Astyanax mexicanus: one gene and its partners. The protein of the gene in region 2 purifies or fractionates together with the protein of the main gene of each other region. This does not show direct contact. Links are inferred from orthologs where the notes say so. Each region holds a gene or a part of one and is shown on either strand. Other genes may lie near its edges. The genes, in order: kif5aa, kinesin light chain 2 and kif5c.

The links.
Region 1: the proteins of kinesin light chain 2 (region 2) and kif5aa purify together in Homo sapiens (affinity purification with western blotting; 3 studies listed by BioGRID and IntAct, with this or other methods). This does not show direct contact. The link is inferred for Astyanax mexicanus from reciprocal best matches to the Homo sapiens genes KLC2 and KIF5A.
Region 3: the proteins of kinesin light chain 2 (region 2) and kif5c purify together in Homo sapiens (affinity purification with western blotting; 3 studies listed by BioGRID and IntAct, with this or other methods). This does not show direct contact. The link is inferred for Astyanax mexicanus from reciprocal best matches to the Homo sapiens genes KLC2 and KIF5C.

Annotation. Positions count from the first base shown.
Region 1 is NC_064419.1:9,769,290-9,779,835, reverse strand, and holds the start of kif5aa (kinesin family member 5Aa), read left to right. Parts: upstream 1-5,848; 5' UTR 5,849-6,062; intron 6,063-6,192; 5' UTR 6,193-6,231; coding exon 6,232-6,360; intron 6,361-10,546. Other genes in the region: stac3 (SH3 and cysteine-rich domain-containing protein 3), read right to left, coding at 181-197. UniProt on the Homo sapiens protein: Microtubule-dependent motor required for slow axonal transport of neurofilament proteins (NFH, NFM and NFL). Can induce formation of neurite-like membrane protrusions in non-neuronal cells in a ZFYVE27-dependent manner.
Region 2 is NC_064415.1:13,524,986-13,535,374, forward strand, and holds the start of kinesin light chain 2, read left to right. Parts: upstream 1-6,451; 5' UTR 6,452-6,540; intron 6,541-7,691; exon of another isoform or gene 7,692-7,874; intron 7,875-10,389. UniProt on the Homo sapiens protein: Kinesin is a microtubule-associated force-producing protein that plays a role in organelle transport. The light chain functions in coupling of cargo to the heavy chain or in the modulation of its ATPase activity.
Region 3 is NC_064418.1:15,258,104-15,268,387, forward strand, and holds the start of kif5c (kinesin heavy chain), read left to right. Parts: upstream 1-5,717; 5' UTR 5,718-6,053; coding exon 6,054-6,179; intron 6,180-10,284. UniProt on the Homo sapiens protein: Microtubule-associated force-producing protein that may play a role in organelle transport. Has ATPase activity. Involved in synaptic transmission. Mediates dendritic trafficking of mRNAs.

The DNA of each region.
Region 1 (10,546 bases), on a different chromosome or scaffold from region 2:
GAAGAAGAAGAAGAAGAAGAAGAAGAAAAATCTTAGCAAAAACAATAGGGTTCTACGCACCTTCGGTGCTTGAACCCTAAAAATGAGCAGGAAAGTATAGTTAAATAATATAGAATAAGGACCATAAGCTAGCGTTTACAGTTCCACTGGTGCGGGAGGTGGTCGCTCAGGTATACTCACTGGTCGTATTGAGCCATGGTGCTGAAGTGAAGCTGTGTGGGCTGAGGCTGTGGTCACTCTGTTATGATGATGGTAGTATAAAAGAAAGAGAACAGGAATAAAGGAATAGTTTCACACATAAGAACTCCAAACACACGTTCACAACCTCTATTCCTGGCCAGTGAAGCTAGTATACTGCAGCCGGGCTAAATTTGGGAGTCCTGTCAGGCAGAGCTACAGCAGACAATAAGAGTATCTACATATCTAATGCACATCTTCACTTAGCTACGACAATCTGTCAAACAGCATTAAAACTTTTAGAGAAACTTCAGGTTTGACTTTGCTTTAGCCACACACACACTCACAACATGTACACACACAATTACACACTCACACACACACATACACACACACACAAACATTAAAGCAATGTAGGCCACACATACCTGCTAAATGAGCAAGGTTTTAATCCAGCTGGCAGATCAGAGTTAAAGATTGATCTCAGAAGTCCAGATTATACTGGTCAGATACTGGCTGAGGCTATCAATTTCCTCCCTGGCTGTGTGTGTGTGTGTACAGTGTGGCTCTATTGGTCACTAAAATGGGCACTGTGTATGTGTGTCTGTCTGTCTATCATGTTGAGCAGTTCAGACAGCTGCTGGATGCCTCAGCTGGTGGATGACGAGGGGTAATAAGACACTCGGTTACTTCCCTCTCTACAGTCCCTCTCTCTCTCACACACACTCACAAGCACAGCTTTTACAATCAACCATGCCTGAAATTAAGGAACACACATCTACACCTCATTCCTGTCTACAGTCGCATAATGATCATTGATATTGATTGTAGTTTACTTAAGCAGCTCCATGAAATGGTTTAATTTTAATAAAGTATATTGTCGCTGTCCAATGAAAAAAAGGCTTAATTTTTGTCGATTTTTAGATTGCTACATAATTTCAACAAACCAACTGTGCTTTACACTGTGTTAAAATGTCTTAAATTACCTGAAATAAACTGTTTTAACATCGACTTTCATTGAAAGTCAAAAAGGTTTTATCTCTCTCTTGTAAAGTTGCTGTTTTTGAGATACTTCTTCGTAAAGCTTAGATTCTTTGCCCAAACCCAACCCGACCCGGGCCCAGATTTCCTACCACTTTCCTCAGGCTGGGACTGTTTTATAAAGCTGTTTTTATTTTATAGAATAATCACAATATAGCAAAGTAACAAATCAAACTGTGTTTTAAATTCGAGGTTCGAATGGGAGCTCCTTCGCTTGTCCGTCCGTAGCCTTATTGTTGTTTTATGTCTTTTGCACTAAGACTATATGTTTAAAATAAAAAAAACTGTTTGTTCAGAAAGTGTTTTATATTCTTAGACATTATTTATTACATTAGAGTAGACAGGAAGATCAGTTCCTAATAAACATTTTTCTTAAATAACAGGTCTATGCTTCTTCAGTGTTGCAATGTTAACTATCATGATTTTGAACAGATTTCGCTCATTTAAACAGCCCAAAAATGTTTTCAAAAAGCAGAGTTATAATAAACTACTTACTAAAACAATGTTTGAATTCAATCGAACTCAGGCTTACAAAATAAGTTTATGGGGCGGGGCTTGTTTTTCATTGGATAGAGATGATATGAAAAAAAGTTTTGGGACTTTTGGGACCTGTTCATTCATTGTTTCCTCCAAAATCAGTGTTAAGTTAAATAAGTATCAAATAAGTACCTGTCTCTTATTTGCAGTGATTTTTGACCCCTGCTGTGATAATTTGATCGCATTTTGAAAAACTGAATTAGTGAGGTCAGAATGTTGTATGATTTCACCTCCTCCCAAATGTTGGAGGTAGCACCATCATCATTCCAGAGGTTTTTATCCCTCTAGCCCAGATCTGCCTAAAACTTTTTTCTCTGTTCTAGAGAGTCCATTTCTATTGGCAATGATTCTTTGCAGGTAATAGACAAGCTGAGTTTATGCATTTTTTTGCATTTTGTATGTGTCAGAAGTGGTAGAAATGGACAGTCCTTAAGTTTTAGAGTGCATTCAAAAAAGTACCCTTTACGTACGTTTTAACCCTTTCAAACCATGTGTTCATTGCAAAGGAAAACATCTGTCTTCTTCTTTTATGTATTCTTGCAGACAGATTGAGACCTATTATGCATCAGAACAGACATACATCAGCCAAACAGCAGTTTAGCCCTGCCACGGCAATGGAAAAGTAAAAGTCTGCACAGTAAAGCGCTAAATATGGCAGAGTAACACTGATTTTATGAGTTTAGAAATGCTTATGAATGATTGTGAAAAACTTTTATATAAAGGAGTTATATAAAAATTATATGGAGTAAAAATAACAGTGCTAAACAAATTTCACACTTCACTGCAATAAACAGAAAATACATTTATTTTTTTATTTGCTGAACCTTTTTTGGAGTGCATCATAGACAGAAAAGTGGATTATTATTCAATATTTTTTCATCACTGGAGAATACATCAATGTCTGGGGATTTTAGTGACAGCTATGTTGAGCTCTTTTTTTACTTTGTCAGCCCTTATCAGTTCTCTAATTCTGTGTTTTATTGTTTTATGATTTGTAAATGAGCAGATGAAAACTGAATTTGCCTTTCGGATGTCAGCCTACAGTAGTTAGGCTCCACCCATTTACGCTGAATTTTTAAGGAGGGTTTCTACATTTACTGAGCCATTCAGAATAGAGATTATTTATCTATAGCATTATTAAAGTGATTTTGTGTTTTAATCAGAAAAACTAATATTATCAAGTTGCAAGAACTTACCAGCCAGTAAAGCTCAATAAAATGAGTTCAGAGAACTTTAACCTGAAAACTTAAAAATGCTTGTTGAGCCAAAGAAATTAAATAATTGTTGTGTGAACAAAAATCTGTTAAGTTGAATAAACTTAAAATTGTATATATTTACGACTTAATGGAGTCAATGCAAAAGGATGAATTGACTGAGTTAAGTTGAGCCATTTTTTTTTCCTGTACAGTAACAAAGAACTTCTGATAAATGGAATTGCAACTGTTTTTGGGACCTACACACATGCAAATAATAGTAAATGAAATGATATGTGGAATATGCCCCGTCTAATTCATATAATCCTAATTATTTTGTATATCTATCAATTCTTCCGGTGTATTCTTGATAATGATGTTTGAAGCTACTGGATACAATTAAGTATCTATGTACCTACCTACCTACCTGTCCATCTGTCTGCTGTCTGTTTGATGTTTACAGGGCATTAAAAGAACCAGACATTTACACCAATTTTCTGTATCCATAAGACAGTGTGCTGCTGATATACTTGTATTAAAGTCTAATCAATACCAAACGTCCACTTTAGAACCGTTTAAAGAACTGAAAGTCTGAGAAAGTAAGAATCAGGGGTATAATCTCAATGACCCCATAGACCCCTTGCCCCTAATTAGACAAAGTGACTGCATCAGATCTGCATGTTCATAGGCTGTACACATTCTATCTGCATTAAATATCAAGAACATTTTAAAACATTACCAGATTGTTTTGTGTTGTGAAACAATGTGCTTTGTCATTGCTGTAGAACTGCAGAATCAGGGTCTTTTAACGAGAACTTCAGCGCTGGGTATTTATGTTGTTTTCTTTCCCACCCGTATTCAGACCGGCTTTGCCTCGTGTGCTGGGATTGGCTAGAATTCTAGACGGAAAGCCAATCACAGCGCAGGACACAACGTGGAAATGAATAGGGCAGTAGTAACTGTATTTTTTCAGTTTTCTACAAATAATGTACAGATTTTAAGAGATTACCCAAAACATAAAAAAGCCAAATAACTGTAGTGAAACCACTGCTTTCTAACAAAAAAAATAAAAAATAAAAATAAAAATGCTAAATAACTGTAGTGAAAACACTGCTTTCTAACAAAAATAAAAATGCAGTAGAACTGTAGTGAAAACACTGCTTTCTAACAAAAATAAAATGCTAAATAACTCTAGTGAAAACACTGCTTTCTAACAAAAAATGTTAAATAATTGTAATAAAACCACTTCTTTCTAACAAAAACAAAAATGCTGATTAACTGCAGTGAAACCATTGCTGTCTAACAACAAATAAAAATGCGGTAAAACTGTGGTGAAAACACTGTTTTCTAACAAAAATAAATAAAAATGCTAAATAACTGTAGTGATACCACTGCTTTCTAAGAAATAATAAAAATGCTGAATAACTGTAGTGATACCACTGCTTTCTAAGAAATAATAAAAATGCTGAATAATTGTAGTGAAACCACTGCTTTCTAATAAAATAGACAAAAAAAAATGCTGAATAACTGTAGTGAAACTGTTGCACCTTAGCCTGTGTCTGTCTTGAATTATTTCCTCTTTTGGTTCCATGTGCTTCTGTCCTCTGTTTTTCTGTTTTGTTATTGTCCTTTCTCAGCCCTAGCCCCGTCCTAGCCATTTGATCCCAGTGTTATTGTTTTGAATAGTCTTTGTACTTGTCTAACTAAATAGTTATCCCAGTGTTGTTTATTGTGTTTTTGCATTTCCGGTGTTTTCTGTTTTGCTTTTGTTTATCTTGCTTGATTTTATTTCATTTAATTGATATTATCTGCATTTATGTCCATCCTCTCATCCTTCTGTTTGTGACTTATTTAACAAAAAAATAACGCTGAACAACTGTAGTAAAACCACTGCTTTATAATAAAAAATACAACAAATAAAAATGCTGAACTATAATAAAACTACTACTTTCTAACAAAAAATAGAAAAATGCTGAATAACTGTAGTGAAACAACTGCTCTCTAACCAAAATTAAATTGCTAAATAACTAGTGAAACCACTGATTTCTAACAAAAATAAAAACACTGAATAACTAGTGAAACCACTGCTTTCTAATAAAAAATAAAAATGCTGAATAACTGTACGGAAACACCTGCTTTCGAATAAAAAATAAAAATGCTGAATAACTATATGTAAACCCCTACTTTCTAATAAAAAATAAAAACTCTGAATAACTGTAGGGAAACCCCTGCTTTCTAATAAAAAATAAAAATGCTAATTAACTGTAATGAAACCACTGCTTTCTAATAAAAAAAATACAACAAATAAAAATCCTGAACAACTGTAGTAAAACCACTGCTTTCTTACAAAAAAAATGCTGAATAACTGTAGTGAAACCACTGCTTTTTAACAAAAATAAAAATGCAAAATAACTAGCATTTTTAAACCAAAAAATTTTCTAACAAAAATAAAAACTCTGAATAACTGTAGTGGAATCACTGCTTTCTAACAACAAAATACAAAAAAATAAAAATGCTGAATAACTGTGGTAAAACCACTGCTTGATAACAAAAAAAGAACAAATCAAAATTCAGAATAACTTTAGTGAAACCACTTCTTTCTAATAAAATATTCCAAAAATAAAAATGCTGAATAACTTTAGTGAAACCACTGCTTTCTAACAAAATATTTAAAAAACAAATTTGCAAAAAAAAAAAAATGCTGAATAACTGCAGTGAACCCCCTGCTTTCTAACAACAAATAAAAACACACAGTGGGCGCGTCATTCTTCCTCTTACGGGAAAACAGATCCTGTCAGCCTATCGCAGCGCGGGGGGCGTGGTCTGTCTGAATGCGGGTGGGGAGTGAAACACAGCTATACTAGCGCGGATGCGAGTACCGCTTTAACAGCAGCGGATAGACCACGCCCTGCCGTCCGGGAGGCTACAGGCAGCTCAGCATCCTTCGCCCTACAAGAGCTGCTTCACCTTCGCCAAGAACAACAGCGGAACAGAGCAGAGCGGGCGGGCGAACAGCGGCGGATTTACCGGGTTTTTTTTATCTTCGCAGCTCCACCTTTAATCTGCGGCTCTGCTCTCTGCATCGCAGCGGCGGATATAACATATTTACGCAACGTAAGCTTTCACTGGCAGATTTATTTATTTATTTATTATTATTAGCCTTATTTACCTTTATTTTTGTAATGCAGTCTGAATCATATATATATATATTAATAACGCGAATGTTGTTGTTTTATTATTCCAGCCCGCTTTTCTCCAGTCTCGTGCAGTCTCAGTGTGCATCATGACCGAGCCCGCCGCAGAATGCAACATCAAGGTGCTGTGCCGCTTTCGCCCTCTGAATCAGGCCGAGATCCACCGCGGAGATAAATTTCTCCCCACCTTCCAGGGGGATGACACCGTCGTGGTTGGGGTAGGGCTGCTTATCTAGCTTCTTTTTTTTTTTTTTACATAATATGATTAATTTAACCCAGAGATGTAATATATACAGTGTAACGGCTGTGAGGAAGAGGCTGGTTTACTGAACGGGAGAAATGGCGTTGGCTGAGGATGATGCTGAGGCATACTGAGGATGGGCCGTATGACGTAATCACCGCTCGTTTATCATTATTCTCCCTGCTGTAAATCGGTACCCGAGCCATTCATTTAACCTTCGTTGTGTAGAAGCTTTTTCCTCAGGCTGCGGTCAGTGGGGTGATGTAGATCCGGGTGTTTTTGTCTTTCTCTGCTTGGTTGTTTAGATGGTTGGTTAGATGCTGGGCTCTGCTGGGCTCTGCGTTAGTGTTTATTAATGTAGGCCCGTAGGCTGTTTATAGCCACGTTTCCCTCTGATCGATCAACCCAGGTTCTCCAGATCCACAGCCTAAATATCCGTTTACTGATAAAAAAAAGACCTGAAAAAGGGCAGTGATTTATTTTTGTATTTAGTTTTTCTTTTTTTTAATTATGATGATGATGTTACAGATGCTGATGCTGATATACAGGTTCATTCTACAACTGAAGGGAGGGTACTGTGGGGGTTTTGCATCTCCCCCTATAATAAATCTGATTTTTAAAAAATCAGTGTCATATAATAATTCTAATAAATTAATTGCATTCATTTTTTGCTATTAATTACTGTTAATTTATATATGTTTAGGCATTTGTATGTGTACATATATACACAATATTATCTAAATGAATCCCACCCACTCATTATTGACTATTTAATTATTTAATTATTTAAATAGTGTTTTTCAAATTTCTATCTAAATTTTTCACCAATTTAGCTGTATCTATTATACCACTCATTCAGTTGCACTCCCCCTACATGTGAACTCAGCCACCACCTCTTTTTAAAATGCTGTTGATGTAGCATTACCGTGTAGCATCACAGCACACTCGGAGGAAAGCACAGTGACCCACATCTGATACATCAACTAACAGACAATGTGCTGATCCACATCACTTTGTGAGTGATGTGGAGAGAGAAAGAGAGCACTGTCTACCCACCCAGAGAGAGCAAGGATCATCAATACTGTTGATGTATGTTTTTTAGGCATTTGTATTTACATACAAAATAATAGTTAAATGAATCTCAACCACACATTATTGACCATCTCCATCTCCTGATTAATACAGTCCATTTGTTTTTTACATTAAAAAAATTGAACGCTACTAACTGCTATAAATAAGGCTGGGGCGATATGGCAAAACTATGATTTCACAGTATTTATAGACAGTTTTGAATCCATTTGATTAATCAAATAACCTTTTTAATGATAGATAGATAATTAATAGATAATTGAGCTTGTACATTTTTACATATAGAAGCTGTCAGATGAAATCTCAGTAAAGTATCTTTGCACTGTGTTTAATATAAAAGCTGCATATAAGGTTAAAGGCAGCTGCATACTTTTTGTAAAAAAAATGGATGTAAGAACTAAAAATTGTAATAGTATTCAAGAATTACCCATGTATTTGAAGAATATGGAGATCATTTTTTTTTACAATATCACTCAGCCCTTCTATACAGATAATATTGTGAAATTTACAAAAAATAGTAATAATCTCTTTAAAAAATACAAACACTTCAAAACAAGAACAATCAAGTACAAATACTTTTATTCAAAATAAAATGTATTGGATGAAATGTATTCAATTAAATTGCATAAAGTTGGGCCAGTGTTTTTTAAGCACTGTTGATATCCATGATATGCTTAAAAATATATACACAAAAATATGCACAAAAAGATCTCAAAAAATTAGAATATCATTGAGAACTATTTTACTACTTTATTTCAGTAATTCAGTTCATAATGTGAAACTCATATATATTATTCTAATTTCCTGAGACAATGATTTTTAAGTTTTCATTGGCTGTAAGTCATAATCATCAACAGTAAAATAAATAAATGCTTAAAATAGATCACTCTATGTGTAATACATATATATATATATATATATATATATATATATATAATAAAAGTTTCACATTTTCAACTGAATTCCTAAAATAAAGTAACTTTTCACACACACACATATATATTTATTTATTTATTTATTTATTTATTGCAGTAGTATATAAATAACATTCCAGCTTTGTTATCTCTGACATAAAATTGCATAAAATCTGCAAACCATTCTAATAAAGGCCTGTGACCTGCACCTAATGTCACTTTCTCTGGTTGGAAACGTATAAAATGTATGATAGTCAGAGAGATACAGCACCTGTCAAAAGAGACACACCTTCTCATTCAGTATTTTTCTTCATTTCCTTATTTATTTAAATAATTAATATTAAAACATGAAAATAATTAAGAACAATCATGAACAACCCTGTTTCATATTTAAAGAGTGATAACAGAGTTGATTAATGAGTTAAATCTTTTCATAATTGAAATGTACCTACAATTCTAGAATAAGCTATATCAAGAAATTTACATGTGGCTTAACAAGCAGGGTTTTGTTTTTAAAAATCATCTCGCTTTTCTCCCAAATATAGCTGTGTTGATTATCCCACCCACTCAGCTGCAGACACCTATCACTAGTAATGCCAAACACCAGGGTGAGGGTAAAGACTAGCACATGCCTCTTCCGACACATGTAAAGTCAGCTACCGCCTCTTTTTAAATTGCTGCTGCTGATGTAGCATTACCATGTAGCATCACAGCGCACTCGGAGGAAAGCGCAGTGACTCAGCTCTGATACATCAGCTAACAGACTCCTGTGCTGACTGACATCACTTTTGGAGTGATGTGGGAAGAGAGAGAGCGCTATCTACCCACCCAGAAAGAGCAAGGATAATTTTGCTCTCTCAGACTCTGGCTGCTAATGGCAAGCTGCATGACCGGGATTCAAACCAGCGATCTCCTGATCATAATGGCAGCACCTTAGTCTACTGGACCACTCAGAGCCCAACAAGCAGCTTTTTGACTAACTAGAATTTGGCGTCTCTTTAAAGATAAAAACTAAGATCGTGCTTAAATGACCGAGCTGACCTGTGGGTTCTTTTGTTCTGCAAGACACAGGCTACACGTACTGCGAGATACATATATATATAAGCCCATATAAGTCATATATAATGTAAAATAAGCAGTGTTTTCACAGAGATACGAATATATGTAGTCATCCATGGTCACAATCACATCTGATTATGTCTCCTTGTTAGGGATGAGCAATTTTTAGCATCCAGACTCTGCCTGAGCCCATCAGCAGCAGTCACAGGCTAATAACAGACCTGGGGTGGGAGCATAAGGAGTGGGAGGTCCGGGAGAGGGGGGGAGGATGATGCTGCACAAGTAAATTCTGTGTTGTCTGCTGATACCTCACTGCAGTGCATTAGCAGACATCAACAGCCTTCCAGACAGGCCTGCTGTCTGCATGAGACTATTAAATATGAAAATGCAGATAAATGTTAATAACTACCAATCTATAATTTTAATTAATGCATGTAAATAAAATGTGTGTCAATGTGTAAAATGTGTTTTATTTATTTGCATGAAACATACGGCTCTGGAAAAAAAATTAAAAGACCACTTCAGTTTCTGAATCAGTTTCTCTGATTTTGCCATTTATAGGTTTATGTTTGAGTAAAATGAACATTGTTATTTTTTTCTATAAACTACAGACAACATTTCTTCCAAATTCCAAATAAAAATACTGTCATTTAGAGCATTTATTTGCAGAAAATGATAAATGGCTGAAATGACCAAAAAGATTCTGAGCTTTCAGACCTAAAAAATGCAAAAAAAAAAATAAAAACAGTTCATATTCATAAAGTTTTAAGAGTTCAAAAATCAATATTTGGTGGAATAACCCTGGTTTTTAATCATAGTTTTCATGCATCTTGGCATGTTCTCCTCCACCAGTCTTACACACTGCTTTTGGATAACTGTATGCCTTTTCAAGCAGTTCAGTTTGGTTTGATGGCTTGTGATCCTCCATCTTCCTCTTGATTATATTCCAGAGGTTTTCAATTTGGTAAAAAATATAAAATATATATATAAATTACTGAATTGAATAGAATTACAGTACATTTGTTATATTACATGATTGCAGTAAAGATACAATGTTTTTCTCATTATTTCTGTCTTTTTAAGAGACTTACACCTCCTGCG
Region 2 (10,389 bases):
CATCAGGGCCTGACGGCATCCTAAATGAGATGCTAAAATACACAAGTTCAAAATTTCAATTGGCCATAATAAAGCTGTTCAATTTAGTTCTGAGTGTAGGGTACTTCCCTGAAATCTGGAACTATGGACTAATAACACCAATCTTTAAAAATGGAGATAAATTCGACCCTAATAATTACCGAGGCATCTGTGTGAACAGTAATCTGGGGAAGTTGATGTGCAGCATCTTAAATTCTAGACTTTTAAACTTCCTTATGAAACACAATGTCTTGAGTAGAAGTCAGATTGGATTCCTACCAAATTACCGCACCACTGATCATATTTACACCCTACACACCCTAATTGATAAATATGTTACCCAAAATAAATCCAAAATTTTTGCATGTTTTATTGATTTCAAAAAGGCGTTTGATTCTATTTGGCATCCTGGATTATTATACACTCTGCTAGAGAGCGGTGTAGGGGGTAAAACATATGATCTGATTAAATCAATGTACGCAGGAAACAGATGCGGAATAAAAATTGGCAACAAACAAACAAACTCCATCTCTCAGGAGCGCGGCGTGAGACAGGGCTGCAGCCTGAGTCCAACACTTTTTAATGTTTATATTAACGAATTGGCAAAAATATTACAACGATCTACAGCTCCCGGTCTCACTCTGCACGACTCAGAGATCAAATTCCTGCTCTACGCAGACGACCTGGTCCTGCTGTCCCCCACAGAGCAGGGTCTACAGCAGAACCTGGACCTGCTGGAGCAGTACTGCCAGACCTGGGCCCTGGCAGTAAACCTAAAAAAGACAAATACTTTAGTATTTCAAAAAAGATCCAGATCTCAGGGATCACAACACACATTTAGGTTAGGAAAAGAGGTGATCAATCACTCCTCTAACTATAACTATTTAGGTATTAAAATCAGTTCTACAGGGAATTTTCATCAGGCAGTGGGTGAACTGAGAGAAAAAGCACACAGAGCTTTCTACGCCATAAAACGACAAATCTTTGCAGAAATTACAATCAGAATATGGATTAAAATATTTGAATCTGTAATTGAACCCATCGCCCTTTATGGCAGTGAAGTGTGGGGTCCGCTTACAAATCAACAATTTGAAAAATGGGACAAACACCCATTTGAGACTCTGCATACAGAATTCTGTAAAAACATTCTAAAGGTGCACCGACACACCACCAACAACGCATGCAGAGCAGAATTAGGCCAATATCCTCTCCTCTTAAAAATACAGAAACGGGCGATCAAATTCTGGAAACACCTGAAACACAGCGACCCCCACTCACATCATTATAAAGCTCTGCAGTACCAAGAGTTGAGCAAAGACAACAATCCCCTCACTCAGCTGGTCCAACCAAGTTACAGCTAATCTGAGAGAAGCGTACCTGCATTATTGGGTAACTCAAACTAAAACCCAGAGTAAGATGCAGTGCTATTTGGCCCTAAAGAGACAGTACACTGTGGGGGAGTACCTGAGCACAGTGACTGATCTGAAAATGAGGTCCACCTTGACCAGGTACAGACTCCGGCCGGCACAAGAGATCCTGGGTGCCTCCGGAAAACAGAACATGCCAGCTGTGCAACCAAAACACACCAGAGACAGAGCTGCACTTTCTGACAGAATGCCCCAAATACACTGAGATTTGCAAAGAATTCTACAAAAAATTCAGTAATAAACACCCCCAGTTTACCCGCCTTACAGACCCAGAGAAACTCCCCTATCTGTTAGGAGAGAAAAGAGAGAGCTGCACTCTTGCAGCCCAATACATCACAGCCTGTCACCGAGAGAGAGACAGAGAGTGACCATATCATACTAAATATCACATTAACACACACACACACACGCAAATGCACACGCACACTATACACACACACACACACACACACACAAACAATTTTAGTTAATTTGTCTCATTACTTCTTTCACTAATTATATTATGCTTTATTATTATTTATTTATTATTATCTATTTTATCTTTATATATTTATTTAATTTTTGCATTGTTTTAAAATGTAGAATCTGTTCTGTTCTACATTCTAGAAATTGTTAATCCCTGAATCAGTTCTATACTTTTACTTTACTGTTAAATCTGTATAACTCAGGCTTTGGCAACACAAATGTAGTGCTATTTGTCATGCCAATAAAGCACCTTGAATTGAATTGAATTGAATTGAGAGAGTGAGAGAGAGAGAGAGAGAGAGAGAGAGAGAGGCATGGATAGGGAGACAGGGGAAAGGTTTTGAGTATATTAAAAATGCTGTGTTAATGATATTAAATCAAGTTTAATTATTGTCAAGACCCCTTCACACTGCCTTGAAACATGTCAAGTCATGTCAAACTGTGATTGAATAGTCATTGAATAACAAGCTGAATAAAATATGTTTTCCAATAAATAATCCTCAAACAAAATATCAGGGTTACACGCACACGCAGCCACAGCTACTACAACAAAACCACTTGCTGTTTCATTATCTCTTTATTGTTGTTTATTAAAGGGGAAACGTGAAACTAGTCAAATGGCTTGTTGTATTCACATAAGTGAAATCACACCCTTGGCCAAATTCACTCAATTTAATCGGTGTCAAAGATAGCATTCATCAGACAAGCAATTTTGTCTTAAATTTAAATAATTGCAAAATTGCTAGATTAATTTGTGTCTCTGCACTTAAGAGAAATTGAACATAATAATTTTGAAACAATACAAATTCATAAACATTAAGTAAGGGCCTGAATTTTTAGGTCCCTAGAAAGTCAAGGAGGCATGGTAAACGACTTCTATGGAAGTCAAGGGCCCCATAGCAGGAGCCCTCGTGATCAAGGGCCCTCTAATGGTATGCCCTGCTCTTCTCTAGGTCCCCCTGGTAGGGGCTCTCATAACCAGGGCCCTCTAAAAATATGCCCCCCTCTTTCCTAGGACCCCTAATAGCCAGAAGTCGAAGTCAGAGCAGTGCCACAACGCCTCAAAAAGGGCCCAAAAGCATGGCTAGGAGCCCCAAAAGCATGGCTAGGGCCGCCAAGAGGCCCTGGGGTCAAATCTCTAATAGTCAGAGGATCCTTAAAATGGAGGGCCCTCTGTAATAAAAATATATTCTACCATAAATGTTGATAGGCATCGCAAAAAGTTTTCGGCCTCTGGCTGGCCCCACTGGCCCGGTCAGTAATCCAGCCATGCATAGATGCCGCATCGACTGACGCCGTCTATTGGAGCTGAACTGCCTGACAAGCAGCTGGCACCCATTAGGTGCAAGGGCTCATATATGTATATGTATATAATATAAAAAACAGTGTATGTTACGCTTGAATAATATATGGACAACAATTGTCGTTTATTAATATTAATTCTTTGCATTATTTAAGGTCTGAAAGCTCAGTATCATTTTTGTTATTTCAGCCATTTCTCATTTTCTGCAAATCTCTTAATAAAAAAAAAATTGGAATTTGGGTAAAAATGTTGTCTGTAGTTAGATAGAATAGAATAAAACAACAACATTCATAGACCTGTAAATAGCTAAATCAGAGAAACTAATTCAGAAACTGAAGTGGTCTGTGAGAAAACACACACACACACACAGACCCAAGTGGTTTTTTAGTTAATATTAGAGAAAATGCAATTTTAATATCCTTAGGCTACACTATTATTATAATACGGAGCCCGGGAGGGGCCATGGATTAAAAAAATTATTAAATCGAGTGAACGATATAGCAGTTCGTGCTCATGTTTTCTTTAATTCGAGTGAACGATTTGCAAATCGTGCTCACGATTTCTTTAATTCGTGCTCACGAGTTCTTTAATTCGTGCTCACGATTTCTGTAATTCGAGTGAACGATTTCTGTAATTCGTGCTCACGAGTTCTTTAATTCGTGCTCACGATTTCTGTAATTCGAGTGAACGTGTTTTATGCGCAATAAGACAAGAAACTCGGAGGGAAAGGAGCATTTTTCTCTCTTGATCTGTTTCAGGGGTGCAGTGAAGATAATCAGTTATCTACATTTATAACCTGCTGATTATTAATGAAAATCCTTTGATGAGCTTAAATTATTCAGGATCTTAAGTCACATTGTTTCACATCAATTTCCAACAGAGTTATCACATATCACACTTTTGTCCATATCATATACCCCTGCTGGGAACGGGTGATATTAAACAATAGATGAATAGATGAAATATGACCCTGTTATATTATAGAGGTGGGCAACATGATGGATATGTGCTGTGAATAAGAGAGTATTTGAGAAGCAGTTTTTAAGAATCTGCTTGTGTTGATGTATTTTGTCTGTCAAAACATTGTGATAAAATCTATCAAAAATGTCTTTAAATATCGCAATATTATATTTATTTATTATATCACACAACTCTTGTCTGTCATAATTTTTTTCTATTCTTTAAACATGATTTTCATTTCTATAAATTAGTTCATATATTTTTCTTAAAAATATATATTTTCCCTGTTTTTAGGATATAACTAATTTGAATCCTGCCATGCCACAACCCAAACATTCATAGGTATTTACAGAAAATGATTAAACTGCAGGTCAAAGAAAAATATTACCAGCCATCAATCAATATCTATATCAGTCAGGACTTAATAAAAAGTAAAATTTCTCATAATCCCAAAACTTGACTTTAACATATCAGTTGCTTTAGTGAATCAGGTCGTTCTAAGGGTCTCACTATTGGAGTTTTATGTTAATAAAGAGAGAACATTGTTCTTGAATTCCACAAGCTTTGGTGTTTGGCTCTGCATTTTGGCTAAAGCTAAACCCCAAGGCACAGCTGATGGTGGGGTAGAATAGCACTCTTTCATATTTGGCACAAAAGCCTGTGGTTACAGAGGGAGAGTCTGAGATTGTGGATGAAAAGAGTATTTTTGCACATGCACTTGTTTGTTTTAGCAGTCCTTAGCCGTTTGCCTTTTGCCTATATAAAGAATCAACAACGCTTGTACATATCTTAAGAAGTGCTTGTAATATGAAGTTCTTTTATTGTTATTTTTTTTTTATTCAACATGTTTTGTAGTACTGCTTTTTCATGATTCAGTTGTCTTTGGGGTAATGTGTGGGATATAAACTGAAAGTGTTCATTTTTTTTAAATAAACACACCTTATTTGTTCTCCGCCTTCAGTGTTCTCTTCATATGTCCACAGGAACATCTGCATCTACAGGAGCAGTTTCAGGATTTATCGAAATTTATCGAAAATAAGTGTGCATGTCTGAATTACTATGAGGAGCTTTCTTTTATTTAAAGCAATATCCTAAAAAAAAGCTTCAACAAGCTTTGTTTCTAAAGCTGGAATCCACCACAGAATAGCATTGTGTGAAGTGTGTGATTGTGTAAAGGGTGAAGCACATTAAAGTTCTAGCTAAGTCTATTTATTTATTCATTTAAATGTAGGAATGCAGTGCTTTTATGGTCAGTTTAATGTTTATCAGTTTAGGCAAATTTGGAAAGAGGAAATTGGGTGTAAAACCATTTTTTTTTTTGCATTTAGTAAAGTGAAGTAAATGGGCTTTTCATACAGTTTTCTAGGTTTTTTTGTGGCTGCTCCTCAGATATGATATTTAGGAAAATTTAACAAACACTCTCGATTTTCAGATATTTACAAATATAGACTGTACCTTTTTTTTTTTTACAAGAAGCAATAATGAAAAAATCTGATTTTTTTTCCTGAAATTCAGATTGTGAGTGGCAGCAATAGAAAACTCGAAAACTGGAAAAGGATAAAAACACATTTCTTCATTATATTGAAATGGAAAAAAAGCAATTCATGGTTTTGGTGTAAAATGTTATGGAGAGTTTAATGCCCGGAGATGTACCAACCTACCAGGCCTGCAGGGTGCAAACAAAATCTATAAAAAAATCTTATTATTATTATTATTATTATTATTATTATTATAACCGGACCGTTCTTGATATCCCACATAAATGAACCGTTACATTGTAAAATATCTGCTGGCTGTGCTCTAATATGCGCGCTTGTGTCCTAACAAGGGTACTTGGTTACTGCATCGATTACACAAGCTTAGCGTTTCTAGCCAGGGCACTAGTGCGTAATTTGGAGCACAGCCACGGTGCGCATGCTCCGTCGGCTGTCCTTGGCGGTTGGTTATTAGGCATATAGACAAACGCCCGCAGCTAGCAGCGAGCCCCGGGTCTGGCTGGCAGTGTCTCACACAGCGGGGAGAGGCTTCTGGAGCGGGTACCGTCTCCACCCAGCGCTGGATAACCCCGGGGAACGGGCGAGGATGGGCGGACGGACTGATGAAGCGAGCTGATCTGTATTTCTCCGTGTTCAGAGAGGGATAACCGGCGCCGTACAGCCGGATAGATTTCAGCAGCGGGCGAGCGAGCGGCGCGTCCGTTAGCTGTTAACGTTTAGCCTGCTTAGCTACGGGTACGATGCTTCAGTCTGAATCTGGGCTGTTTCACCTTTAAACATATTTAATCACGGGTTTAAAGGATTTATATTTTACTAAAACCCAATAGAACACGATCAGAACTCCGTCAGAACCCGTGTTTCAGCGAAAAAGGTAAGATAAACAAATGTCTGTTTAACGTTACTGTCGCACAATTTATTAGGTCATGTAGCCAAACATTTCATATTTACTGTTCTTAAATATATTTTCATGCCCTTATTGCTATGTTTAGCCTTCTGTATTCGGGATTTTCTATATTATCTAGGTAATTCGTGGCTAAATGATGACTGGTTGGCTGGCAGATAGCAAACCTAGGTTAGCTAGCTTAGCTAACCTAACTCTACAAAGCCGGGCATCTGACCTGCTCTGTCAATTTGTGCCACCCTGTCAAAACGCGCAAGCTAGCTGGAGGTGGGTAATCTCTTAAAATATATATGTAAATATTGAGATACTAAAAATACTCAAATCTCAAATAAAAACTAAGTATTTAAAAATAATGATAGCATGTCAAAATAATGAGATCTCAAAATATAAAAGTTTTTTTGTAGATTTTTATTTTAACACAAACTTACATTGTGTCATAATGTCTTGATGAATGGACCAATAGAAATTCTCTAAAATTATCCTAAATAAATTCCATATAGACTTCCATTGAAAATGAAGGTTTTATTTCCTTTATGTAAAGTTGCTTTCGTGCATTCGTGAAATAACGACCTGGTATCTCAAAATAATGACTTCATAGGATCTCAGAATAATGACTTCATAGGATTTCAGAATGACTTCATAGGATCTCAAAATAATGACTTCATAGGATCTCAAAATAATGACTTCATAGGATCTCAGAATAATGACTTCATAGGATTTCAGAATGACTTCATAGGATCTCAAAATAATGACTTCATAGGATCTCAAAATAATGACTTCATAGGATCACAAAATAATGACTTCATAGGATCTCAAAATAATGACTTCATAGGATCTCAAAATAATGACTTCATTGGATCTCAAAATAATGACAGTATCTCAAATCAATGATTTTATAGGATTTCAGAAAAATGACCTAGTATATCAAAATAATGACTTCATAGGATCTAAATAACGACTTATTAGTATCTCAAGCAATGTTTGTACTAAGCTCATATTGTATATAATACACCAAAGAAAAACAGAATCATCACATACAACTCTTTAAAACGATGGGTCAGCGCATGCGCAGAACGCCTGGGTAGCACATATAGATGTGTAGCGCAACTGGGCAGAACACAGGCCAGGCTTTGTCCAGCTACAGTGACGAAGTCTAGCGCTAGGTTAGCATTTAGGCTAAAAACACGAGCTTGAAAGGGTCTTTCCTCTTGTTTGGATGCGATGTCAGCAGTCTCAGTCTGTATAATCTGGAGCTGGGTGGATTTTAATTCTTTAAATTAAACCAGAACAGAGACTACGTGAAGGTTTGTGCTGTTTATTTGAGCTATTTTGTTGAATTCGTGATGCGCCATTCACGTGTATTGATTGAAGTCTGCTTTTGGACTGTTTTATAACGTGCTCTTTATCTTTATCTTACTTTACTTTTCTTTGAGATTATTTGGCTTGAATTTGTTATTTAGCTACAATTTTAATAGATTTTCGTTTTGTTCCCGTTCTACCTTAAAAAAAAAACAAGCATGGTTACATTATGAAGCTCCACGGGGCCAACGTATAACTACTGCAAAATTTAAGGTGGAACGGAAAATTCCAACAAAAAGCCAAATTAAGTCTTGTAAAGTCCAGTGTTTTGCTGAATGGCGCCCCTGTGATGTCCTGTCGGTCACCTTGATTGATCCTAAATCTAATTCTACACATCCATACACTCATCCTTTAATTAGGTCTTAGTAAAATATGATCAGATAGAGAAATATGCTGGAGCCTGCACAGATAGTCTATGGGACACTTAAAGTAAAGTAGTGTGGTGCATGTTTGGTGCTCAGTTCAGCATCCTGCTCCATCTGATGGAAGTAACAGGCTTCCTCCTCTGCTGCATTGCAGTGAATAATACACGGGGTGGGGGGTGGTGGAGGTGGAGGAGGTTTTAAGTGTGCGCCACCTGGTGCATGAACGTTGAATTTTAGACTGCAAGAGGCTGATTTCTGAGCTTTCCGTCATCCAGGGACCAGGGACCTCATGTACTAAGACTTGCGTGGACTTCCTACTAAAATGTTCCGTACGCTGAGACCTGAAAAGTTCCGTACGCACAAAAAAATCCGGATTTATCAAACCGTGCGTAGGCAGAATCCCACGTACTTTCTCTTAGTTCTTCACAATCAACTTGAAATCAAGCGCACGAAAACATCACACCTGCTACGACTCCTCCCTCAATTACGCAGAGTATAATGTTATGATGATAATAATAATAATAATAATAATAATAATAATAATAATAATATGCTAGAGTAGAATATGCAAGTCAAGAAAGAAAAGTGTCGCAAGACGCATAGCGTAATAACTAATAATTACCCAAGTTTAAATGTATTATTCTAAGATGCATATTAAATTGTTTCATTTAAATGCTTTAAATCAGTTGCTCACCAAGAAGCCGCCCGTCACGCACTCAACTTGTTTTCTTATCCTCTTATGCTCTTGGAAACCAACGGCTTATAAGTCAGTCATCATCATGGGCCAAAAAAACATAATGGTCACGGAAAATTAGCAATTATTAGCAATATTTTCCAATAATGCAACGCTGCCATCTCCAACAACTCCAGCACGCACTTTTATCCATGTTTATACAATCTAGGCTAAGTGGAAACACGTTGAACGATTATTTCTGTAAGCCAATGAAACTGTCTGATTAATTTACTTTATTTTACCCATTAATGGCTTATTACTACAATGTGTGCCTAAAGGATATCTTAATAGTTGTAATTTCAATGCATCGCCTCTAAGTGTCGCCAAATGACAAAAAAACAATACAAACGTACAAAAAAAATAAACATGCGTACGCCCGAAACAAAAGTGCCGTGGGGGAACGCACTTTCTCACGTTCAAGTCACATTTAGTACATCTGGCTGTGAGCGTGAAATATGGCGTACACAATGTTTTTGTGCGTACGCACCTTTAGTACATGAGGCCCCAGATTATGAAACATTTCCAGGTCCAGTCCTGCTTTATGACAGTTTTCAGTCTATTTCTTAATATTTTCTGAGGACAGAGGTGGCTCATTGGTTAGAGCACTGAGTTATGGATCACAGAACGTAGGGTGAAGAAATTTGCCACTGTTGGGCTCTTCAGCAAGGCCTTCTCTGCTCCAGGGGACAGAGATGCGATATCAAAAAGAAGCATTTAATTGTACTGTGCACGTTTTAATATTAATAGAAAATACATTAAACATTAATCTACATTGTATAAACAGACAGTCAGGCATTAAATTTCACATACTACTTCATATAAACACAGAAGAACAATAACATTTATGATAAGATTTGTTTTTCCATTGTTTACACTAAAATGAGGTCAGTGATGCACCCTAGAAACCAGCTAACTCATTTCCCATTGTCCTACTTTTTCGTGTGCCGTGTTGTGGACTGCTCTTTGTCTTTGGTAGATAACAAAGCAGCTGTCACTCCACCATCCCTTTTAAATATTAACTCAGTGTTGGGTCTCAGCTTCTTTAGGATGTTGTCTTCTTTCATTGAAAATGACACACAACAAATTATAATTAGTAATATGCATAGAGCTGCAAACTAGAGGGCTTTAATGTAATTCTTGTTACTACAGAACTTTCGATTATGTTACGAACATTTTGATTTGTATACAATTTATTTCAAAGTTGTAAAAGTCTAAATTCATGGGATGGTTCATGAGAAAGATTAATGCAATTTTACGTATGATTCCAGGATGACATATTGCCAGTACTGTTTTCTATTTCAGTCCATTGTTGTGAAGAATATATTATTCCAGTTTATTATTTACAGTTTTACTGTATCTTGG
Region 3 (10,284 bases), on a different chromosome or scaffold from region 2:
GGTACATTATCTGAGATTTTTTTCTTTAAAAAAATACAGAATGCTGCCCAAAGTGAATATACAACCTTGTTTAGAAAGTGTACAACAAGAATGTAAGAATAGAGTAAGAGTATAAATAGCCAAGTATACTTACTTCTGTAACTCCAACACTCCAGCTCACCGGCCAGTCTCAATGCACACTGTAGCAGTGATGATAGCTCCTTTACTGTATAAACCTGTTTGCTGTAGAAAAGCAAGCATACAATAATATGTACGTTTATATGTACGTTTTCTTTGTATGTTTAGCACAATACCTAATCCTAAATTAGTTACTCGCTTCCATATGTATTTTTAGCCGTTTAGATCCATTCATCCCCATTCATTTTCTGCTTGCGCGCGGGCTCCCTCTAGTGGTAATCAGTAATTTTCTGATATAACTGGAATCTATAGATAGTAGGTAGTCTCTCCATAAAACAGCTCTGGATGGATTCTCTGCTTCTCCACTTCTCTGGAGTTACTGGAACCACAGTTACAGAGTCAGCGCCCCTACCTGGACTGTAGGACAAGAGCTGGTTTATTATTGATGGTTTATTAACTGCTGCCAAGAAATACTCCAGCATTGTCATGCCAAATACATCACTGCAATAATTTAATTTATATATATTCCATTTATTTAAGAAATGTTTGCTCAATAATAAATCACATCACATTCTGAATGTTTCTTGAGATTTATTTGGAAATTATGTTTCTTTTTATCGCTTTCTTGTCTCAGTTGGGCTTAGGTGCATACGTTGGGGGAAAACTCCATAGTCATATTTACATATTCCATCAAATGTATTTTTACTTGTATCCATGATCCAATTTGTGTTTATAAGCTTACATTTGTGGATAAACTATCCATACAGTAAACTGTAGTATGTAATATTTTGTGTAGATTTCCCTCTGATTCCCAACATTTCCTTTTCACTAGTCCAGACTGCATTCTATTTCATTGGCAAAAAGCCGTTTTTGTTTCAGGCCCACATCAGCAGCCCCTAAACCTCCAAAACAGTTGGGTTTCTCTAGTAAATGTGTTTACTGAGCTTCCTTTCTTACTCCTACCTTCCACTCTCAACCCATGGAGGCGTGTTTCTGTGAAAGCACCAGAAAACTGCAGTAGAGATCAGATTACCCATCAACCCCTGCACAACCATTAAATTCAACCACCTGATTTAAAGGTTTTGCTCGTTTTCCTCGTCATTGACAGGTAAAAATGATTTTAATGGTTTTAACGTGTTTTGTTCTACAAGTCTAAATTATTTTCTCGATTTTTTTCCTCTTAGTCACCACAATCAAAAACACTTCTTAGATCACAGACTATTTAAAGTCTCACAAACCTGACTACACTTTATACCCTGAGCGTTCCAATAAGCCACACAGATATTAACTAGCGGTTTGTCCCACATAGAATGTTTTACTTCAGTAATCGCGCAGGCTACAATCCGATATAATTGTATAGTATACCTTATATTATGAAAAAGACGGTAATTAATAGTTAATACTATTCACCTACCCACACTGACTGTTTAAATGTATTTAACTGTGGTTTAATCAGTGTGATACTTTAAATATGGTTTTTAACATTTTTGTAAAAAAATAAAAATAAAACATTGAATGAGAAGGTGTGTTTAAACACTTGACGTGTCTGTATTGATTAATAATACAAAAAAATGCATGAGTAAAATATAAATAAATTAAAGTAAGTTTACTTAAGTTTACAATTTCACTTAATTAAACCCACTTTAGATGTTGTCCCTTTGGGGTTTCAATGAGATATTATGCTCATATGTCAATACACTTTATGATAACGTACTGTGATTAATTTAGTCTTATTATTGTGATAGATTTTTTGGCCATATTGTCCACCTCTGTTTGGAGTCAATGTGCAATTGTTCTCTTACCTATAAATCAAAGTGCAGTACCTGCATCCTCTCGTTTGGGGGCACTGTGGGATAGTAAGTCAACAGCATCAATACACCAGCAAGGGGGGGGTGTTGCGCTGGATTGAGTCATAGGGATCTGTCTGAAACACAAGACATTGATGGCTTGCTGACTTGATGCCTTGCTGTCCACACTATCTCACTTAGAAGGCATTGTAGTAAAGCTTTGTGTCTGAAATGTGAGAAATGCTGCTTACTTGAGGCAGGAAGGCATGTCTGAATTAAAGTTCAGTGATGTAGGATTCTGTTTTATTAACCCTTAGATGCATGAGACTATCTATCTATCTATCTATCTATCTATCTATCTATCTATCTATCTATCTATCTATCTATCTATCTATCTACAGTTGTGGTCAAAAGTTTACATACACTTGTAAAAAAACATAATGTTATGGCTGTCTTGAGTTTTCAATAAGTTCTACAACTCTTATTTTTCTGTGATAGAGTGATCGGAACACATACATGTTTGTCACAAAAAACAGTCATAAAATTTGGTTCTTTCATAAATTTATTATGGGTCTGCTGAAAATGTCACCAAATCTGCTGGGTCAAAAATATACATACAGCAACATTAGTATTTGGTTACATGTCCCTTGGCCATTTTCACGGCAACTAGGCGCTTTTGGTAGCCATCCACAAGCTCCTGGCAAGCTTCAGGTCGAATGTTTGACCACTCTTCTTGACAGAATTGGTGCAGTTCAGCTAAATGTGATGGTTTTCTTGCATGAACCCGTTTCTTTAGCACTGTCCACATGTTCTCAATGGGGTTTAAGTCAGGACTTTGGGAAGGCCATTCTAAAACCTTAATTCTAGCCTGGTTTAGCCATTCCTTTACCACTTTTGATGTGTGTTTTGGGTCATTGTCTTGTTGGAACACCCAACTGCGCCCAAGACCCAACCTTCGGGCTGATGGTTTTAAGTTTTCCTGCAGAATTTGGAGGTAATCCTCCTTCTTCATTATCCCATTTACTTTCTGCAAAGAACCAGTTCCACTGGCAGCAAAACATCCCCAGAGCATAATACTACCACCACCATGCTTGACAGTAGGCATGGTGTTCCTGGGATTAAAGGCCTCACCTTTTCTCCTCCAAACATATTGCTGGGTGTTGTGGCCAAACAGCTCAATTTTTGTTTCGTCTGACCAGAGAACTTTCCTCCAGAAGGTTTTATCTTTGTCCATGTGATCAGCAGCAAACTTCAGCCGAGTCTTAAGGTGCCTTTTCTGGAGCAAGGGCTTCTTTCTTGCACGGCAGCCTCTCAGTCCATGGCGATGTAAAACACGCTTGACTGTGGAGACTGACACCTGTGTTCCATCAGCTTCCAAATCCTTGCAGACCTGCTTCTTGGTGATTCTTGGTTGACTCTTGACCATCCTGACCAATCTCCTCTCGGCAGCATGTGATAGCTTGCGTTTTCTTCCTGATCGTGGCAGTGACACAACTGTTCCATGCACTTTATACTTGCGTATAATTGTCTGCACAGTTGCTCTTGGGACCTGTAGCTGCTTTGAAATGGCTCCAAGTGACTTCCCTGACTTGTTCAAGTCAATAATTCGCTTTTTCAGATCCACACTGAGTTCCTTTGACTTTCCCATTGTAGCTTTTGTAGCTGAGTCTAATCACTGGGTCAAATGAGCCCTATTTAAATGGGCTCATGAGAAGTCAACAGCTGTAGTCAATCAGAATCACTTACAAGAAGTGAAGAGGCCATGACATGAAGCTAATTTGATTGACACAACTCGCTACATCACCAAAATTGACAAATTTTGTTGCTGTATGTATATTTTTGACCCAGCAGATTTGGTGACATTTTCAGCAGACCCATAATAAATTTATGAAAGAACCAAATTTTATGACTGTTTTTTGTGACAAACATGTATGTGTTCCGATCACTCTATCACAGAAAAATAAGAGTTGTAGAACTTATTGAAAACTCAAGACAGCCATAACATTATGTTTTTTTACAAGTGTATGTAAACTTTTGACCACAACTGTATCTATCTATCTATCTATCTATCTATCTATCTATCTATCTATCTATCTATCTATCTATCTATCTATCTATCTATCTATCTATCACTTACCTACCTACCTAGGTATCATTTGTCTATTTTTAAGTTTGCAAAACTAATTATAATAATAATACATTTTATTTGTAATGCACTTTACAGTTCAAAGAAATCTCAATGTGCTAAATTAATAATTATCTGGCTAACCAAGCTAGAAAGACATGCAGACACAGACAGACAGACAGACAGACAGACAGACAGATAGATAGATGCATAGTCTGCATGTCTGTCTGTCTGTGTCTGCGTGTCTGTCTAGCTTCATTAGCCAGATAATAACTTTTGCAAACTTAAAAAATAATAAAATTGTGTGTCAGAAAATAGTAAACACATACTCCTTAACACACACACACACACACACACACAGTAAATACAGTAATATTAGCTAGCTTATAATTATAATTAGATAGTAGCAATAAATGAAACCTCTGTGACCTTTGTACATTACTCTTCTTAAGGGCTGATATTTATAATATATTCTGTGTGGTCTACAGTCACAGCTGATAAGAATCAATTGTCATTTTAGATCCACCTATGAAAGATTGGGGTCGTAAAACAAAACAAAGAATTTTTGTAAAAAGGATAAAAAGCAATTTTAAAAAATGGCAGTAAATCAGTAACACTTTTCCCGAGGAATGTTTCCAATATGAAAAAAACAATAAATAAAGAAACAAAGGAAAACAACCTCACCAGGTTATTTTTGATCCACTTTTGCATAATAAGAGCTAACAGCCAATAGTCAGTTGTTATTACTTTGGCAATGACAAGACTTTTTCTTCCTTCTGATTTGGACACAAAGAGATTTTTCTCACTACACTGCCTTCTGAATGGGATTGTGTATGAATCAAAAGGAAAAGACACATTCTGAGTTTATCAATGTATTAAATCCAGCAAACTGCTTGATATGAACTGTTCCTATATAACAAAATATCAGAAATTATTTATTTTTGCACATTCTGTTTACATTGATTCAACATTAATTCGAAGTTATGGTTTTATTTGTACTGTTTGTATTAAATTTTACTTATGTTAAATATGTATATCTTGTTTGTGTTATATTTATTACATTATTTTTTTTTGCTACAGAGCCTCAACCATTCAAAGCCTTTAAATAAATATTGATTTAATGTCAGAATTTTAACACCAACTGAGAATATGAAATAAACATACATTTTTGGTTGCCTAAATATATATATCAAATAATCAACAGTTTGTGGCACTTGTGAAAATGTCTGATTATTTTGCAATTGTATTATCATCACACCCGTGACAGTGACATAAAACAATCTTAGTTACAATCATATTATTAATTTAATGCTTTATTTTTTTAAATCATATTTTACTAATAACATAAAATGAATGGACACAAATAAATAAATTCTGATGTCCGAGATTTGTTTAATTGCATTAGAGATGGAACAATTACCGTTAATTCAACGTTTAATAACGTTAAATTAATATTGTTAAAAGATTGTTTTTCCATCATCAACATTATTTAGACTTGGCCTGGTCTCTTCCTGCCTCAGAATCATGTTTAAATGGGCAGCGTGTCTTACCTTTCAGACAAAGCTGAGATCTCGCCGGACAGTCTCGCCAATCCCAGCACGGGTTTAGGATCCCACCAGCCAATCACAACGCAACGGGGGCGGGATTTCGCCGAAAACAGGCGCGCTGAGGAAAAACGCCGCTTTTGGTGCTGATGCTGCTGCAAGAGGGGCGATGCAGCGACTGCAGTCTTTACCTCAGTGCATCTGACCGCAGAACAGGGGACGTTTAAAAGAGGTTTTATTTATTTATTAGTCATTTTACCTCATTTTACTGCAGTTTAAACACACAGACCTGGTTTAAACGTGTGTAGAGACAGTTTACAACATTAGAAAGAGGGATATTAGAAGGGTATTCGGCAGCAAACAACAACAGCAGCAACAGCAGCTAGCGGTGAACGGAGATGTGTAGCTGAGCTGCTTTACAGGCTTTAAGTTCTTCAACTTTTTCTGGATATAAAGCTCGTTTTTCAGTCGGGTTTCGCCATGGTGGATGCGGCTGAGTGCGGGGTGAAGGTGATGTGCCGGTTCAGGCCACTCAACGAGTCGGAAATCAACAGAGGAGACAAATATATACCCAAATTTAAGGGGGAAGACACGGTGGTTGTCACGGTAAGTCTAATTTGGTTTAACAGACTAAATCTAACGTTTAAAGCTTAATATGTTAAAACAATAGCTATACTTTTATTTTTCATAAGAATAAAGAAAGAATATGGCTCAGCCATATTCAGCCCAGTAGAGATTTGTGGTGTTGATATAACAGGTTGACAGTGTTCATCACCTTCTGGTGAACTTACAGTGCTATAGCTGCTATACACACAAACACACACACACATACATATATATATATATATATATATGTATAAATGTATTTATTCATTTTTTATTTTTCAGTCATAATGACTAATCATTATACTATTGTAAGAAGCACACATCATGCAAGAGGACCAAGACACATATAATAATTATCCATTTAATATATATATATTAATATACTCAGCATACAGAGATATTTACTAGTCCCAGTAGTATAATCATACAACAATGCATAATTTAAGATACATATAATGATCCATTTACACATAGAGAATTATGTTACAGTTTTAAACAAGATTAGAATAAATCTACAGTATACTCTCCATATTATTATTATTATTATTATTATTATTATTATTATTATTACTTAGCATAAATAAATCGAAAAATATATTGTATATAGTATATATCAGTCCTTTTAATTAAAATTTATGTTTATTGCACTTTAAATCAGTCTGATTATTATGCTATTTTATTATCATTGACATAAGACAATGTTAAAATTACAATAATACTTGTAATCATGTATATTTTATTTATATGTATTTTATATTTTGTATCTTTTAAATATATTTTATTTATTTGGTTAATGCAGTTTTTCTTCTTAATAACTCATATATTCAAAACAAATATAAAACAAAATGTGACAGGTCTAGAAAGAATGTTAGATATAAGTTAGAATGCTAAATTAATAATTTTGGCCATTAGCAGTGTTGCTATCTCTATGGCTTATATTGCAGTAACAAATAACATCATTTAGCTGTAGTGTTTATTTTAAAGCTGGTAATGCCTGTTATATGCTTATTATATATAGCCCGATTCAGTACATGTTGTTTAATACTGTAAACTAAAATACTGTAAACTGTATGTGTAAATGGATCATTAATGGATTATGTCCTTTAGTCTTGTATGATGTGTGTTGCTTTAAATAGGCTACACAAACACAGTCTACATACATCCTACAGGCTTTTGTGTGAAAGCCAAGATGCTGATGGAGCTCATGATGGAGCTCAGACATCAACACCTCATTGAATGGGGGAAAATATATAATTTTAAATTATAATTAAATATTTTTCCTTACTATAAAGATTGGTAAATGAGGACAGTGATCAATAAACATATAAATATTTATGTTAAATCAAAATATCTAAAAAGTAATTCATGATCTACTGAAAAACCAGCATGACCAGCTCAGGCTCGACCAGCATGTTGATGTGGGTCATGCTGGTCATCAGCTAAACCTTCAAACACAAACAAAACCAATACTGGTCAGGAACTTAGCTGGTCAACCAGCTTAATCATAAAATATAAAATCTTAATATTTTTCATTGGGGTGTGCCATATTGTATAACACACAATATATTGTGACATTAAATAGATTGTCATGAGTAAATAATCTATATTAAATTCGTCAATTAATTAGTATTTAATTTTAAGCATATTGTCATCTGTGATTTGCTGGTGTTGGTCCACTCTATTATATCAAGTCTAAAGTCAGTGCAGTTTTGTTTTCCCAGAAAATCTTACAGCACTTCATGCTTCCCTCTGCTGATAACTTTTATGGAGATGCGGATTTTTTCCAGCACACTGCCAAAAGTACCAATCGGTTTTTCATAATATTCTGATTTTCTGAAACACTTATTTTTGGGTTTTTATTGACTGTAAGCTGTAATAATCAACAATAAAAGAAAAAAAAACTGAACATTGTTGTTTTCTTTTATAAACTAAAAACAACATTTCTCCCAAATTCCAAATAGAAATATTGTAATTTAGAGCATTTATTTGCAGAAAATGAGAAATGGCTAAAATAACAAAAAATGCAGAGCTATCAGACCTCAAATAATGTAAAAAAAACAAGTTCCTAATTATAAAGTAAAATATATATTTGGTGCAATAGCAATAACAATATATATATATGTGGTTACTGTTCCTCTTTGCTAGTCTTTATAGTTACCAAAAATGGTTTTATATATTGTTCCAGCAGTTTAGTGAAATGGATGTTTATTTCTGGTCTAAGCTCCATCAAGATCTTGGCTTTCACACTTTTTTACTAGTTTTACAGTAAATTGCACTGTATCACCACACAATAAAAAAACACTGTGTACCTTTTTATATTAAGTAATGCTATATGAATAATGGATAAAGTAATGCCCCCTTTTAACCCCTAATGTATTTGCTGTTTTTTTTCTACAATGTGTCATGTGCCTGGATGTGAAAAACATCAATGAATGATTAACCTTAATGCATAATTTAATATGCACGTCTAAAATTAACCCCTAATGAAGGTTCATTTTCTGTGTTGTAATTATTCAGCCTAATCCTGGCTGTGTTCTCTTCTTCTACACAGTCTGTAATCTCATTTTAAGACCAGCAAAGTGAATTTCAGGCTGAATCAGGGACAGTGCTTATTTCAGCCAATAAATGTTCATTCTTGCCCAGAGTATTACAGGATTTTACAGTTTTCTGTATAACTAAGCACAAATTTCCAATAAAAAGGACTACAATCAGATTTTTTTTATTTTGTAGTATACAAGACAAATGAGCCACTACTTGTTCAGATTAAGGGTGCACTGTATGTAAATTCAGGGCAGATGTCAATATCCAATATTACACATGTATGTAACTTAAAAGGTCTTGCTCCATCTTTCTCTCATTCATTTTGAAATGTCTAGTTGTGGCCTCTATTGTGAATGAATGCCATTAGAACTGTTTTTTGTGAATAAATTGTAGTTACACTTTTGTAGCACCTTTCTAGAAACCCAAGGGCACTTTACAATTTACACGTTTTACACAACCATTTTATACTTGGCACTCATTCACACACCGGTGAGAAGCGGCAGCCAATAGCGCACAGTGTACTCTCAACCGGAAACAACCGTCCACCTAGACCACTGCAGCAATTACTCAGAACAGAATGCCAATCCATATCTGGGCACAGTGATACATACATTTACACACACACTTACACATACACACCAGATCAATTTAGAGTATTCAATTTTTTCTAGGCAATTTAGAGTTTTCAATTTACCTGATGGATTGGCAGCCTGTTCAGGGTGTATACTGCCTTCTGCCTGTAAAGCTACGTGAAAGAACGGATGAGGAGAGCAGGGCAAGTAATTTATTAAACAGAAAACAAACCAAGTAAACCAACACAGGATCTGAGTACAAACTGAATAATGAACAGAACAAATACGCTGCCGAGACTGATGCATAACACGCACAAGAACCGACAAACTAACACTGACGACAAAGGAGCTCACAAGGCGGGAGAGGGAACAGGTAACACCTGGGGACTAATTAATGAGGGGCGGAGTTACAAATGAACACAGGGGAGTGGAAAATTACTGGGGAACACACAGGGAAACGAGAAACACAGGGAAAACAGGGCAAGGGCGTGACACCGCCCAATGCCGGCTGGTATAGGCTGGATTTATTTCCTCCATTAAAGCTCCGTAAAAGCTTCAAAGTTAAACTCAGTAACTCAGTGAAATAAAATTCTTAAAAAAGCTTTAAAGCTACTCTGTTATAATAAAGCAAAAAAGGATCTAGTCACAACAAGTCAACTGATAAGCACGATTGAAAAAGTAGATTAGGGGAACAGATTGCAACATTAATTCTGTGAAAATGCATGAATTCCAGCTTTTTCAAAAAAAAAACAATATTCCCCCTATCCTGTTGGGAGCATTGGCTAAAAGTGCTGTATCATGCTATCATGCTTAACTACTACACCCCAAGTCAGTTTCACACTGGATTTGCAATATAAGACTTTTACAAACAGATTTGTAAATGATACAAAATATTATTTATTACCTTAAAATAGTTTTTCAACAGTATTGCACATTGCTATCGTCATTTTTAAAATCATGTAGAGATGCAAGTTGTTAGTCATATCGCAGGG